3 linked regions of the Mus musculus genome follow. The protein of the gene in region 2 purifies or fractionates together with the protein of the main gene of each other region. This does not show direct contact. Links are inferred from orthologs where the notes say so. Each region holds a gene or a part of one and is shown on either strand. Other genes may lie near its edges. The genes, in order: Satb2, Plk1 and Topors.

Region 1 (3,646 bases), on a different chromosome or scaffold from region 2:
TGAGGCTCCCTGTCACCAGGACCCTTTGCTCTGGCCTAGCTACTGCACCCACACACACAGAACTTTTCCACTGTGTTTCTCTAAAGAAAGAAAGAAAGAGAGATGGAGAGAGAGAGAGAGAGAGGGAGAGAGAGAGAGAGAGAGAGAGAGAGAGAGAGAGGGAGAGAGAGAGGAAAGGAAAGGAAAGGAAAGGGAAAAGGGAAAAGGGAAAGGGAAAAGGGAAAAGGGAAAAGGGAAAAGGGAAAAGGGAAAAGGGGAAAGGGGAAAGGGGAAAGGGGAAAGGGGAAAGGGAAAAGGGGAAAGGGGAAAGGGAAAAGGGAAAAAAGGGAAAAGGGAAAAGGAAAAGGGAAAAGGGAAAAGGGAAAAGGAAAAGGGAAAAGGGAAAAGGGAAAAGGGAAAAGGGAAAAGGGAAAAGGGAAAGGGAAAGGGAAATTTTTTTATTGTATTGTTACTGGGGGTCTGGGTGGCATAGGTACACATGAGTGCAGGATCCCCCTGGAGGTGGAATTACAAACAAAGATGATAATCCATCTTAACCGCAGAGCCATCTCTCCTGCCTTCCATTTTATCTTTCTGAATTGCTCACAGCAGCATCTGAACTGCTGTTTCTTGCCCTCAACCACATTCCACCCCCAGAAAAATAAACAAGCAATGTAAGGAAAATAAAGTAGCTCTTATACAAACACAACCCCCACAGGAACCCCACTTCTTCTTCTTCTTCTGAAACTGTAAAAAAGACAGGAACTCACCTCCTACTCTTGCCCTGTCCCCTCACCTGCTTATGTGGAAGAATGGGGTTATCCTAAAGAGAAGGGAATAACACACCTCCACAGCACAGGGTTACCTCATGATATAGCCAGAGGTTATATCCTTTGACCTGTTCAATGATGTTTCTTGGTTTTCAAGGAAAAACACAATGTCCATGAAGCACGAGTGAAGTATGTGAAGTGTGGAGCAGACAGCTCACCTGTGGGGTTCGGGAGGAGCTGGGACTGCTAGAGGCAGAGGAGACCATGCTCACATTGGGGTTCATGCTCCTCTCTCGCTCATCCTGGTAAATGCGATCACGCTCCACTTCAGGCAGGTTGAGGAAGTTCTGCATGGCCCTCAGGTTTACTAGAAGAGACTGAGACGCAGTCCTGGGATCTTCTTCCTTACGCAGTATCTCTGACAATAATCCCTGGTAGAGTGGGGAAAAAATAGGCAAAGTCATGTCTACGGATTTACGGGTATGGTTTCCGTCTCCCTTGCCAACTGCCCCTCTACTTGTTTGGCATAACCAGCTTGAGAGAATATCAGGAACATGCCTAATTCCTTAGGGAGGAGTCTGTATGAATGTGTTCCCTTTCCGGGGCTGTGCCTTATTTTAGGACTTCTATTCTGCCACCTCATCATCGCTGTAATAATCCTATGTGCGCCAATGCCAGCGAGCAAGGTAGGCGCTCAGGAGGAAATATGGAGCTGCAATTAACCACCAGGTGCCTCCAGCAAGTATTTCAGGAGCTGTTAGAACTCTCTCTGCTTGAAACTGGGAACTCTTGGCAGTCCTGCTTAGCTTTACGAATCTGCCAAGTTTGGTAAATTTAGTTCCGACATTTAAACAGCATGGGAGATTTACATCGATTTTAAAAAAATAATAAAAGTTTGGCTGAATTTCTGTATGACCGGACACTGGTTTCAATATAGATGTTTCCTAAGGTAAAGGGAGGTGGCGAATAGAAAGCACACATAACCTGTCAACTCTGATAACTTCCCAGCCTTCACGCATAGCAGCTATGCTTTCATAGGTACCATGAGGCACCCCAGACTTTTGTGGGGTACCACATGGGAAACTCTAATGTCAAGTGATGAAAATGTGGTTACATTAGCTAGGGACCGGGGCATGTGCTAACTGTAGTGCTGATAGGCTCTGATGTCTTGATCGACTTGATGTTTTCTGAGTTTGTGACTCAACTCAATATGGGGGTTTTAAAAGCAGGGTTTTTGTGTACTCTAGTGACACAGAATTCACAAAGATTTTGTCGATACTCTACAGCAGCATGGCCTAAGAGGAGAGTAGGAGATGAGCTAGAGAAATGGCTCTTAACATACAGGCTTTGACCCTGATAGAGCAGAATAACCCTTTCACAGGGGTTGCCTACCAGGTATCCTGCAGGTGAGATATTTACATCACAACTTAGAACAGGTGCAAAATTACAGTAATGAAGTAGCAACAAAAATAATTTTATGGATGGGGTGCCACAACATGAGCAACTATTAAAGGGTTGAGCCATTAGGAAAGTTGAGAACCACTGAGCTAGAGAGATACTAAGACAGAGGCAGATCCATTACTGTCGCATGCACTTGTTGGGTTATCACACAGAAGCATCATTTCATATTCTCATTCTTATTTTATCCTTTTGCAGGGCACTAACTTTTACAACTGTTTCTCCAAGAAGAGCTAAGATGCTAATCCTGTACTTTGATCACACAAAAAGTCACTTCTATAGACTGTGGTAAAGCTCTGCACGTGCCAACGATGCTTTGCACTGAGGGAAATTAATATAAGTGCAGGAGATGCAGCTCACATATAAAACAGCAGTGGCTGTAAGGAGAATTATCCTCTGGCTGGACAGAAGTCTGCAGGGTATAGTGGGCATTTTCATACAAATTACTATATTGTGCCGTAGTATGGCAAATACCATTTATAGGGAGGCATGTCACACAGTTGCCAACAATCAAGGAAGTATAGTCATCATTCAGGGATAAAATATACCACACAGGGACTGGAAAGGTGGCTCAGTGGGTAAAAGCACTTGCCTGATGACCTTGGTTTGATTCTTGGGGCTTACATGGTAGGTGAAGAGAACTGACTCCTGCAACCATGTGCACATGCATGCACATGCATGGGTGTGCACACAACATACCATACACATACAGAGAGATACATAAATAAACCTAGTTTTTAAAATCATACAAAACAACTCTACTGCAAGGAAGCTACCGACAGTGTGCCATCTGCTAGCTCTGAACGTAGAGGTCACATTACTGTGATTAGAGGAATCCTAATACCTGGGTAAGTGCCTACACAAACATAGCTAGGAAGCACATGGTGTTGGCTTGAGGTCAGAATGTGAATAGGGATAAAATATACCACATAATGAAGCTAGAAGAAATGTGTGTGTGTGAGAGAGAGAGAGAGAAAGTGTGTGTGTGTGTGTGTGTGTGTGTGTATGTAAGGTATGTATGTGTGGCGGAGGAGGGGGCTGTGTGCTAGTTAGTATGTGGGCATGCACATATGTGCTCAAGGAAAGAGCAAGGTAGGTGGTATGTGTAAAAATATCCTACTGCTGAAATGATTAAAGGAAAATCCAGATCTCACGGCATGCTTTTAGGAGCAACAAGTGAGGCACTTGTCTTCCTGGAAAGTGTGCATTCCATGAATCGATTCTCCCGAAATTAAGAGTCACTTGTGCCTTGGGTCACCCTGCTTCCCATTTTAACTGAGCAACCTGAAATGTTCATAATGGATTTGCTTCAAAGATTTTTTTTTAAACATCTCTAAATTAATATGAAGAAAGGAAGTGGATTTTAAATTGCTCCCACTTTCCAAGGTCAGTAAGACAGTAAGATTGATACTCCTCTGCGCTTTCTCTCATAATGAGCC
Region 2 (3,746 bases):
TATGAAAAGCCACACGCCTGCTCTGTGTGGCCACTCTTTTTACATGTTGTAAATCCATTTTTTTTTTTTTTTCGAGACAGGGTTTCTCTGTATAGCTCTGGCTGTCCTGGAACTCACTTTGTAGACCAGGCTGGCCTTGAACTCAGAAATCCGCCTGCCTCCCCAGTGCTGGGATTAAAGGTGTGTGCCATTACGCCCCGGCTCATTTTTTTTTTTTCCTAAGTGAAGGCTGAACGGACACTTCGGCAGGGCAGACTTGGCCTTGGTATACCGGCATGCTAGCACTCTTCTAACCAGCTACCCCCCCACCTCTGACTAAAAAATTAATTTTTTCTATTTGGGGCTCTGGGCCACACAACTTGGAACAACCCAGGTAACCTTGCATCGCGGGGCAGACGTCCGGTGTTTCTTACATATCACAGGGCATAGGAATCATCTGAAGGTCTTGTTTGACCGGCAGGTCATGCCTGGGAAGTTTCTTTCCTTTGGGGTTAGTGGAGCGGTAGCTGAGGCTGATCTCGGCTAACTTGTAATCCTGAACCCACGCCCCTCCTTTGCCTTCTTAGGGAATTCCAGGTGCTGCAGATGCTGCTGGCCTCCTGCGTTGTTCAAGAGAAGGGTTGAGTTACTTCTCAGGGGCTGGGAGCCCCTAGTGCCACAGAGGAGATCGGTCCGTTGCGCCGTGAAGGTGCATCTGCCTGCTGAGCTTGCTCAGTTTTGGGTTTATTTAGGCTAGCCGGGGAGAGGGCTGTCCACCGCGGAGGCGGTGCACTCTCAAGCTACCGGTTGGCCTGGAGTTTCAGTTCTAGAAGGCCGGGTCCGGTGGAGGAAGGTGTTAGATCTTAACAGTTAGGAGAAGCCCCTGGAGGAGGCGCAGGTGAACCACATGAGCACGCCCCAGCCGAGGAGCAGAAAGCAGGACAGAATCCTGTTCTTCTAGGGATCTTCACGTAGTTGCTTCGTTCCTGGTTTCCCAGGCAATCCTGAGCAAACGCAGTCCTCCAGTCCCTGCCCATTAAAAATTTCGCCGGCAAGATCGGAGTTTAAAGGCGGCTGCGCCGTAGAGCACTCCCATGGTGCCGCGCGCTGGGCGGGTTTGTATTTTAAATCCCCGCGGCCAATCAGCAACGCGCAGGCCCTTGTAACGTTCCCAGCGCCGCGTTTGAATTCGGGGAGGAGCGGAGCAGAGCAGGACCCTCTGCACCGACTCAGCCAGGTTCGTGGAGCAACTTCGGCATCATGAATGCAGCGGCCAAAGCTGGAAAGCTGGCTCGAGCACCAGCCGACCTCGGGAAAGGTGGGGTTCCGGGAGATGCAGTTCCCGGTGCCCCAGTGGCCGCCCCGCTGGCGAAAGAAATTCCGGAGGTCCTAGTGGACCCACGCAGCCGGCGGCAGTATGTACGGGGGCGCTTTCTGGGTAAAGGAGGCTTCGCCAAATGCTTCGAGATCTCAGACGCAGACACAAAAGAGGTGTTCGCAGGCAAGATCGTGCCTAAGTCTTTGCTGCTCAAGCCCCACCAGAAGGAGAAGATGTCTATGGAGATCTCAATTCACCGCAGCCTAGCACACCAACACGTCGTAGGCTTCCATGACTTTTTTGAGGACAGCGACTTTGTATTTGTAGTTTTGGAGCTCTGTCGCAGGAGGGTGAGTGTTTCAGTCGCAGTGCTGGGGCTCCCACACCTGGAACTTGCTGACAAAGGGGCACCGAGGTTTTGGAGTGACCTAGAGGAGTGGTTGGGTTTCAAACTTTTATGGAAAGGCTTCTAGCGAGGGTACTTGGCACTCCGAACTGCTGAGGCCGGGGTTCTGGGGAAACCGAGACCAGATCCTGTTGCTATTAGGGATGGAGCTCCCAGACGCAAGGCAGCGAGTCGGTACAGGAAATGGATTCATAAAGTGGCTAAGGAAGGGTCCCAGGCTTGGTGTGCCACGCACCTCTAACTTCCGGAGTGGGGCAGGGTCGGGGGAGGGGGCGGCTGTTTGGAGTCAGATTTTAGAGCTTTCAGGAAAGGGAGGGAATCTCCTGCCAGGAGGAAGCCCTGGGTAGGGGAGTCGAGAGTGGGGTTGAGAGAAGACTCAGGAGAGGGTCTGGTGAATGATAGTGACCAACCAGTGTATGGGTAGAACTATCAGAAACCTGCTAAGACTCTCCACTCCGAGCGTCTAGTCCTAGCCACATCCAGCTAGCCACTCTTCTTGGACTTCAGTGACCTCTTTCTCCCTCCTCAGTCCCTCCTGGAGCTGCACAAGAGGAGGAAGGCACTGACCGAGCCTGAGGCCCGCTACTACCTGCGACAGATAGTCCTGGGCTGCCAGTACCTGCACCGCAATCAGGTCATTCACAGGGACCTCAAGCTGGGCAACCTCTTCCTGAACGAGGATCTGGAGGTGAAAATAGGTGAGGTGCTGGGCCTTCGGGTGTCTGGTGTCAGGGCAGGAGGGGACAAGGAGGGGAAGGTGAGGAAATAGAGATGCTGCCCTCTAGTTAGGAAGTGGAAAGTGTGTGTGTGTGTGTGTGTGTGTGTGTGTGTGTTTGTGTGTGTGTGACACTTTCCTTGCCTTTTTTTTAGATGCATTGGTGTTTATGCCTCAACTCAGTAGTTTTGAACTTGGGGCCCCTCCCCCAAATGCTTCTCTATAACCTAGCACTGAGCCAGACCCTCAGCCAATTTCAGGTCTGGACTTACGCTGTAGAGTATGGCAGGCAGCATCTCCTCAGGTGTCTCTTTACTAAGCTGAAAAACCTGCCCCCTTGAGTCTGATTGGCCAGTCCCTAGATCCCTGTCACTTCTCCACACACTTGCCCAGCAGCAGTCACGAAGATCATCTACTTGATTCCCCAGTGCATCTAATTCTGCTATCCTGTGCATTTTAAATTTCATTTACTTATGAATGGAGACAGGCTAACTTCAAGGAGTCAGTTCTTTCTTTCCACTGTGTGGGTCCCAGGATCGACGTAGATCATGTTATCAGTCTTGGCAGCAAGCCCCTTTACCTCCTGAGCCACCTTAACCACCGTAACCCTGCTATCTAAAGAGGTGTGTGGGAGGCTGGCTAGGGCCAGTACAGTGGAAGGGTTCAGGGACTCTGGGGCCTCAAGCCACTAGTTCTCAATGCTCAGGATCAAAACAGAGCTGCCTGCAACCACAGACAGCCCGGGCTTAGCAGCTGAGCACCCTCTCTTCTTTCCTCTGTCCCAGGGGATTTTGGCTTGGCAACCAAAGTGGAATATGAAGGGGAACGAAAGAAGACCTTGTGTGGCACTCCTAACTACATAGCTCCTGAGGTGCTGAGCAAGAAGGGACACAGTTTTGAGGTGGATGTGTGGTCCATTGGGTGCATCATGTAAGTTGGCAATGGCCTTGGCTCCTGGGCCTCAGCAGGGCTTTCTGAGGCTTCTCACCCAGTTGACTTTGCCATGTGAATCTTTCTACCTTATAGAAAGGCTGTTTTAGTGGACAGGCTGTCCCACATGAAACCCTGCTTTTCATATATCAGTCTGGCGTAGGCTGTTGGATTCCTGTAACTTGACTTGTTGGTCCAGGGAAGGGATCAAAAAGTCCCTGAACTTTTCCTCCTGGCCCTTGGTGCTTACTAAAAGTATGCACAGATCCAAACCATCAACACCTGAGAGCTTGTTAGGAATTCAGAATTTCAGATCTGAACCTGGGTTTAATACAATCCCTGCCTGACTTTCCATGGAGCATTGGAAGTCCTGCTGAGTGCTGAAGGGAGAACTAGGC
Region 3 (3,746 bases), on a different chromosome or scaffold from region 2:
ACACCTCTGACAGTTTCCAAAGATGATAACAATTATATTTAACATATCTAAGCAAAGCAGCTAACAACATCCACAAATAGATAAAACAGAATGACTGGTAAAAAGCAATCTGCATTCTACTTGTAAATCTGAATAGTTTAAAATTTGTTAAGTCCTAAATGACCAAATTTAATTTCTTCTTTTTTTAGTGAGGCTAGACAGAGTTTCTCTGTGGAGCCCTGGCTGTCCTGGAACTCACTCTGTACACTAAGCTGGCCTTGAACTCAGAGCTCTGCCTGCCTCTGCCTCTGCTGGGATTAAAGGTATGCACCACCACTGTCCAGATTGAATTTCAATTCTGGTAATAATAAAATTTAATTGGGACCAGGCACCCTGGAATATTCCTGCATTCCCAGAAGACTGGAATATGAAGGCAAGACGGTGAGAAGACCAAGGTCATCCTTTGCAAAGTAGGGAACTCCAGACCACTCTTGGCTACAAAAGTCCCTGCCCCAAAATAAAAGGGGTGAGGGTTGCTTGGAAGCTAGCCCCGTGAAAGCCTCTCCTTCTAGATACGCATTGAGTGTGACTGACTGAAGAGCCCTGCACTTTGCATTCCATCTATTTCCAAACCCTCAAATCCTCTCAAACGAAACACTCTACCCTGTACTAGCTCAACTCTTAAGACACATACGTTTTTTCCTTCTTTCTCCACTTTAACATAGGACGGTGCCCAGTAGAACTGCTGCTTCCCAGTTCCGGTCTTAATCTCCGTGCCTTCAATCCCGTAACTGCCCCTCTCCAGTCTACCAATCAGAATCAGCAGCCCATGAGCAAAGGGCACTAACTAGATGTGTAATAAAGTCACAAGGCATACAAGCCCTGCCCACAATGTGTAGCACTGCACAACTCCTCTAGCCTTAACAGCTTCCTTAGTCCAAAACTACTGTCTCGGATGGAAAGACAACCACACCATGCATGTTACATAAACACGACCAACTGAAATGCTGATCCCATTTCACAGACAGGGTCCAGGGCTGGGGACCTACCAAGGTCACACTTCCTAACAGTGGCAACTGTTTTGCGCCGACACACAGCTCTATCCCGTATTCAGTTGCGCTCCAGCCCTTCAGGCAGTGCAGGGAGACACTCCCCTCGCTTGCCCACCGGTGCCGATCCACAGGTGCCCTGCAGCGTGGCGACCCCAGCCCTTGGGAGCTCCGGGTGGAAGAAGGCCCAGACCACAGGGCTGCTCCAGGGCCTACTGGAACCCCTCACCCATTGTTCCCGGCCGACTCACCTCCGAGGACGCGGTGGCAGGAACCGCTGGGCCGTTGGAAGCCAGCTCCCGCCGGCTCAGTAAGCTCGGCCGGTGGCGGCAGGATCCGCGAAGGCGTACCCGGCGGCTTCGGCGCCTCCCCTCCTCGGCAGGCACCAGAGGGGGCGCTTCACCCTCCTCGCGAGACAGCGGAGACCCCGGTGGCGGCGGCTGCGACCCCTATGACGTAGAACGTTCATCACCCACAGGCAGTTTGGAGGCGGAGAGAAGGCGAGACCAACCCCCCGAGCCCGCGCAGCAAAACACCGCTCCTCCACCCCCTTCCCCCGAGCTCTGGGCGCATGCGCCAAACCGCTGCCGCACGCAGGAGGCGGGACGTTACGGCACAGACCCCGGACCCTGCCCTGCCCCCACCGCGGGGGGGCACAGCACAAACTCCACAATCACAACCAAATATGCAGAAAGGCTGCCTCAGTATCAGTGGAACCTCACAAACTTCAACAAGTTGTTAGGATTCTCTATGGTGCCACGGGAACTGGACTGAGCTCCCAGAGCACCCTGGTCCTTCCGTCTATTTCAGCTGGGTTGACCATCAGGCATTTCTTTTACCCCGCCATAACTCCCTGCGGCCCGCTTCCCTCTTTCCACTCTCGGAAATCTACACTAAAAATGTATCTGACACATCTGCGCCCAAAGCCGAGCGGCCCAGCCTCTGCCGGCCAGGCTTCCACTCTGCACACCACCAGCATCCTGATAGTTGGCCTGCCAAGCTGCCTTTCTCGGGACTTAGTATTTCAAACTTGCTGCAGTCCCAAGCATTCGACAAACTGCCCGTCAACACTTGTTGGCCGGCAGATCCACCATGCGGGCTACCTGTACAACATATTTGAAAAGATTTCCAGCCATCAGCGATAATATTCTGTTTGTTCTTGGTGAACGGCTCAACTAACAGTTCCCAACGATGTTTTTGTTACGTAAAAGATGTTTAAGTCAAGCATAAACATATGAAGGTCTATCCGCATTTGGTGGAAACCGATGTGGGTGTGGGACGGCAACTTTGATTCTTCCACCGTGGACTATTTTCCAATAAACTTTTATATGCACACGATGGCACACTATCTTGTATTAATACCGCACTGCAAATGCAGGATAAAGCAGTTAAGGAATTCCTATGTGAGCGCAAAAAAGGCGCGATCTTCACATTTTCTCTTTTATTCCCTCTGCTGCCTGAAAGGCGGGCTAGGCCCGGATCACGTGATGTGTTCCAACTCCGGGCGGAAGCCCGCGGGAGCGCGCAGAGTCCCGCTGAAAAATGGCTGCTGCATCGGGGTGCAATGCGCCCGCGAGCAGGCTGTAGGGCCCTTGCCACCCCGTCCCCGCTGCTCCCTTACCATGAGGCCGATGAGTCGCCGAAGCCTGGACTGGACTTACTCCCTGGTAGGTACCGAGCAGAGCGGAGCTCCAGAGCGCACCATGGCAGGGCCCGCGAGCCGAAGGTAGACTGTTGGCTCGCAGCTTGGAACTCCAGAACCCATTCCTAAATTGAGCGTTCACGCCCTGCCCTCGGCTCCGCCTCTTCCTGGAGGACACGCTTTTCCGCCTCTGACGTCAGGGGTTGCAGGCCTGCTTGCCTCTGGGCTGCACTGTGTTAGAGGCATGTGATGCCTTTCCACCTGTAGCTGCTTGCTCGGGCTACACAGGGAAAGGACCCGGCACATTGATTTCTTCTTTTTGCTTTTCCTCCCCTCCTTTTAGTTGCTCCTTGCAATCGTCTTGCTCTCTTGGGGATTCGTCATCTATGCATCGACTGTAGCTGCACGACGACAACTACAGAAGGAGTTTCCAGACAAGTTCTTCTGAACGAACTTTTGTAATTCTTAGCAAACACTTCTTTTCTTCAGATGGCACCTATGTAGACTCAAAGTAAAATTCACAATACAAATTTGCGTGTGGCCTTTTGTGATAAGCGTTAACATGCCAATTTTTCAAAATGATCGGACAACACCCCCCCCCCCCTTTTTTTTTTTTCGAGACAGGGTTTCTCTGTATAGCCCTGGCTGTCCTGGAACTCACTTTGTAGACCAGGCTGACCTTGAACTCAGAAATCCGCCTGCCTCTGCCTCCCGAGTGCTGGGAGTAAAGGCGTGCGCCCCCACGCCCGGCTCTATTTTGTATCAGGTCATAGCTTTTCATTCTAGTGCTCAAACACTTCACATCCTCATGTCAAATCAGTATGTAAACAACACTGTGACTAAAATGTGTTTTGCATCCTGTTTATCAAAATGGACAGAAAAAAGTAGCTAATAGCTCTGTTTAGTATTTGTCTTTTTACTGTTAGTCTCAAATCATAGAACCTTTGGACAGTAACACGGACAGTGATAACACTCTGAGAATAAGCTTTATTAATTACTTTTCCAGGAAACAGATTCAGTAAATACAGCACTTTAGGAACATACTTGTGCTGTTACACAAGTCTGTTAAGTTTTTA

What was found.
Region 1: the proteins of Plk1 (region 2) and Satb2 purify together in Homo sapiens (affinity purification with mass spectrometry; 3 studies listed by BioGRID and IntAct, counting the BioPlex papers as one, with this or other methods). This does not show direct contact. The link is inferred for Mus musculus from reciprocal best matches to the Homo sapiens genes PLK1 and SATB2.
Region 3: the proteins of Plk1 (region 2) and Topors purify together in Homo sapiens (affinity purification with western blotting; 3 studies listed by BioGRID). This does not show direct contact. The link is inferred for Mus musculus from reciprocal best matches to the Homo sapiens genes PLK1 and TOPORS.

Annotation. Positions count from the first base shown.
Region 1 is NC_000067.6:56,849,204-56,852,849, forward strand, and holds part of Satb2 (DNA-binding protein SATB2), read right to left. Parts: intron 1,181-3,646; coding exon 968-1,180; intron 1-967. UniProt on the Homo sapiens protein: Binds to DNA, at nuclear matrix- or scaffold-associated regions. Thought to recognize the sugar-phosphate structure of double-stranded DNA.
Region 2 is NC_000073.6:122,158,304-122,162,049, forward strand, and holds the start of Plk1 (serine/threonine-protein kinase PLK1), read left to right. Parts: upstream 1-1,131; 5' UTR 1,132-1,239; coding exon 1,240-1,647; intron 1,648-2,232; coding exon 2,233-2,401; intron 2,402-3,203; coding exon 3,204-3,348; intron 3,349-3,746. UniProt on the Homo sapiens protein: Serine/threonine-protein kinase that performs several important functions throughout M phase of the cell cycle, including the regulation of centrosome maturation and spindle assembly, the removal of cohesins from chromosome arms, the inactivation of anaphase-promoting complex/cyclosome (APC/C) inhibitors, and the regulation of mitotic exit and cytokinesis.
Region 3 is NC_000070.6:40,267,025-40,270,770, forward strand, and holds the start of Topors (E3 ubiquitin-protein ligase Topors), read right to left. Parts: upstream 2,818-3,746; 5' UTR 2,696-2,817; coding exon of another isoform or gene 2,653-2,695; coding exon 2,650-2,652; exon of another isoform or gene 2,555-2,649; intron 1,478-2,554; coding exon 1,280-1,477; intron 1-1,279. Other genes in the region: Smim27 (small integral membrane protein 27), read left to right, coding at 2,651-2,695, 3,014-3,118. UniProt on the Homo sapiens protein: Functions as an E3 ubiquitin-protein ligase and as an E3 SUMO1-protein ligase. Probable tumor suppressor involved in cell growth, cell proliferation and apoptosis that regulates p53/TP53 stability through ubiquitin-dependent degradation.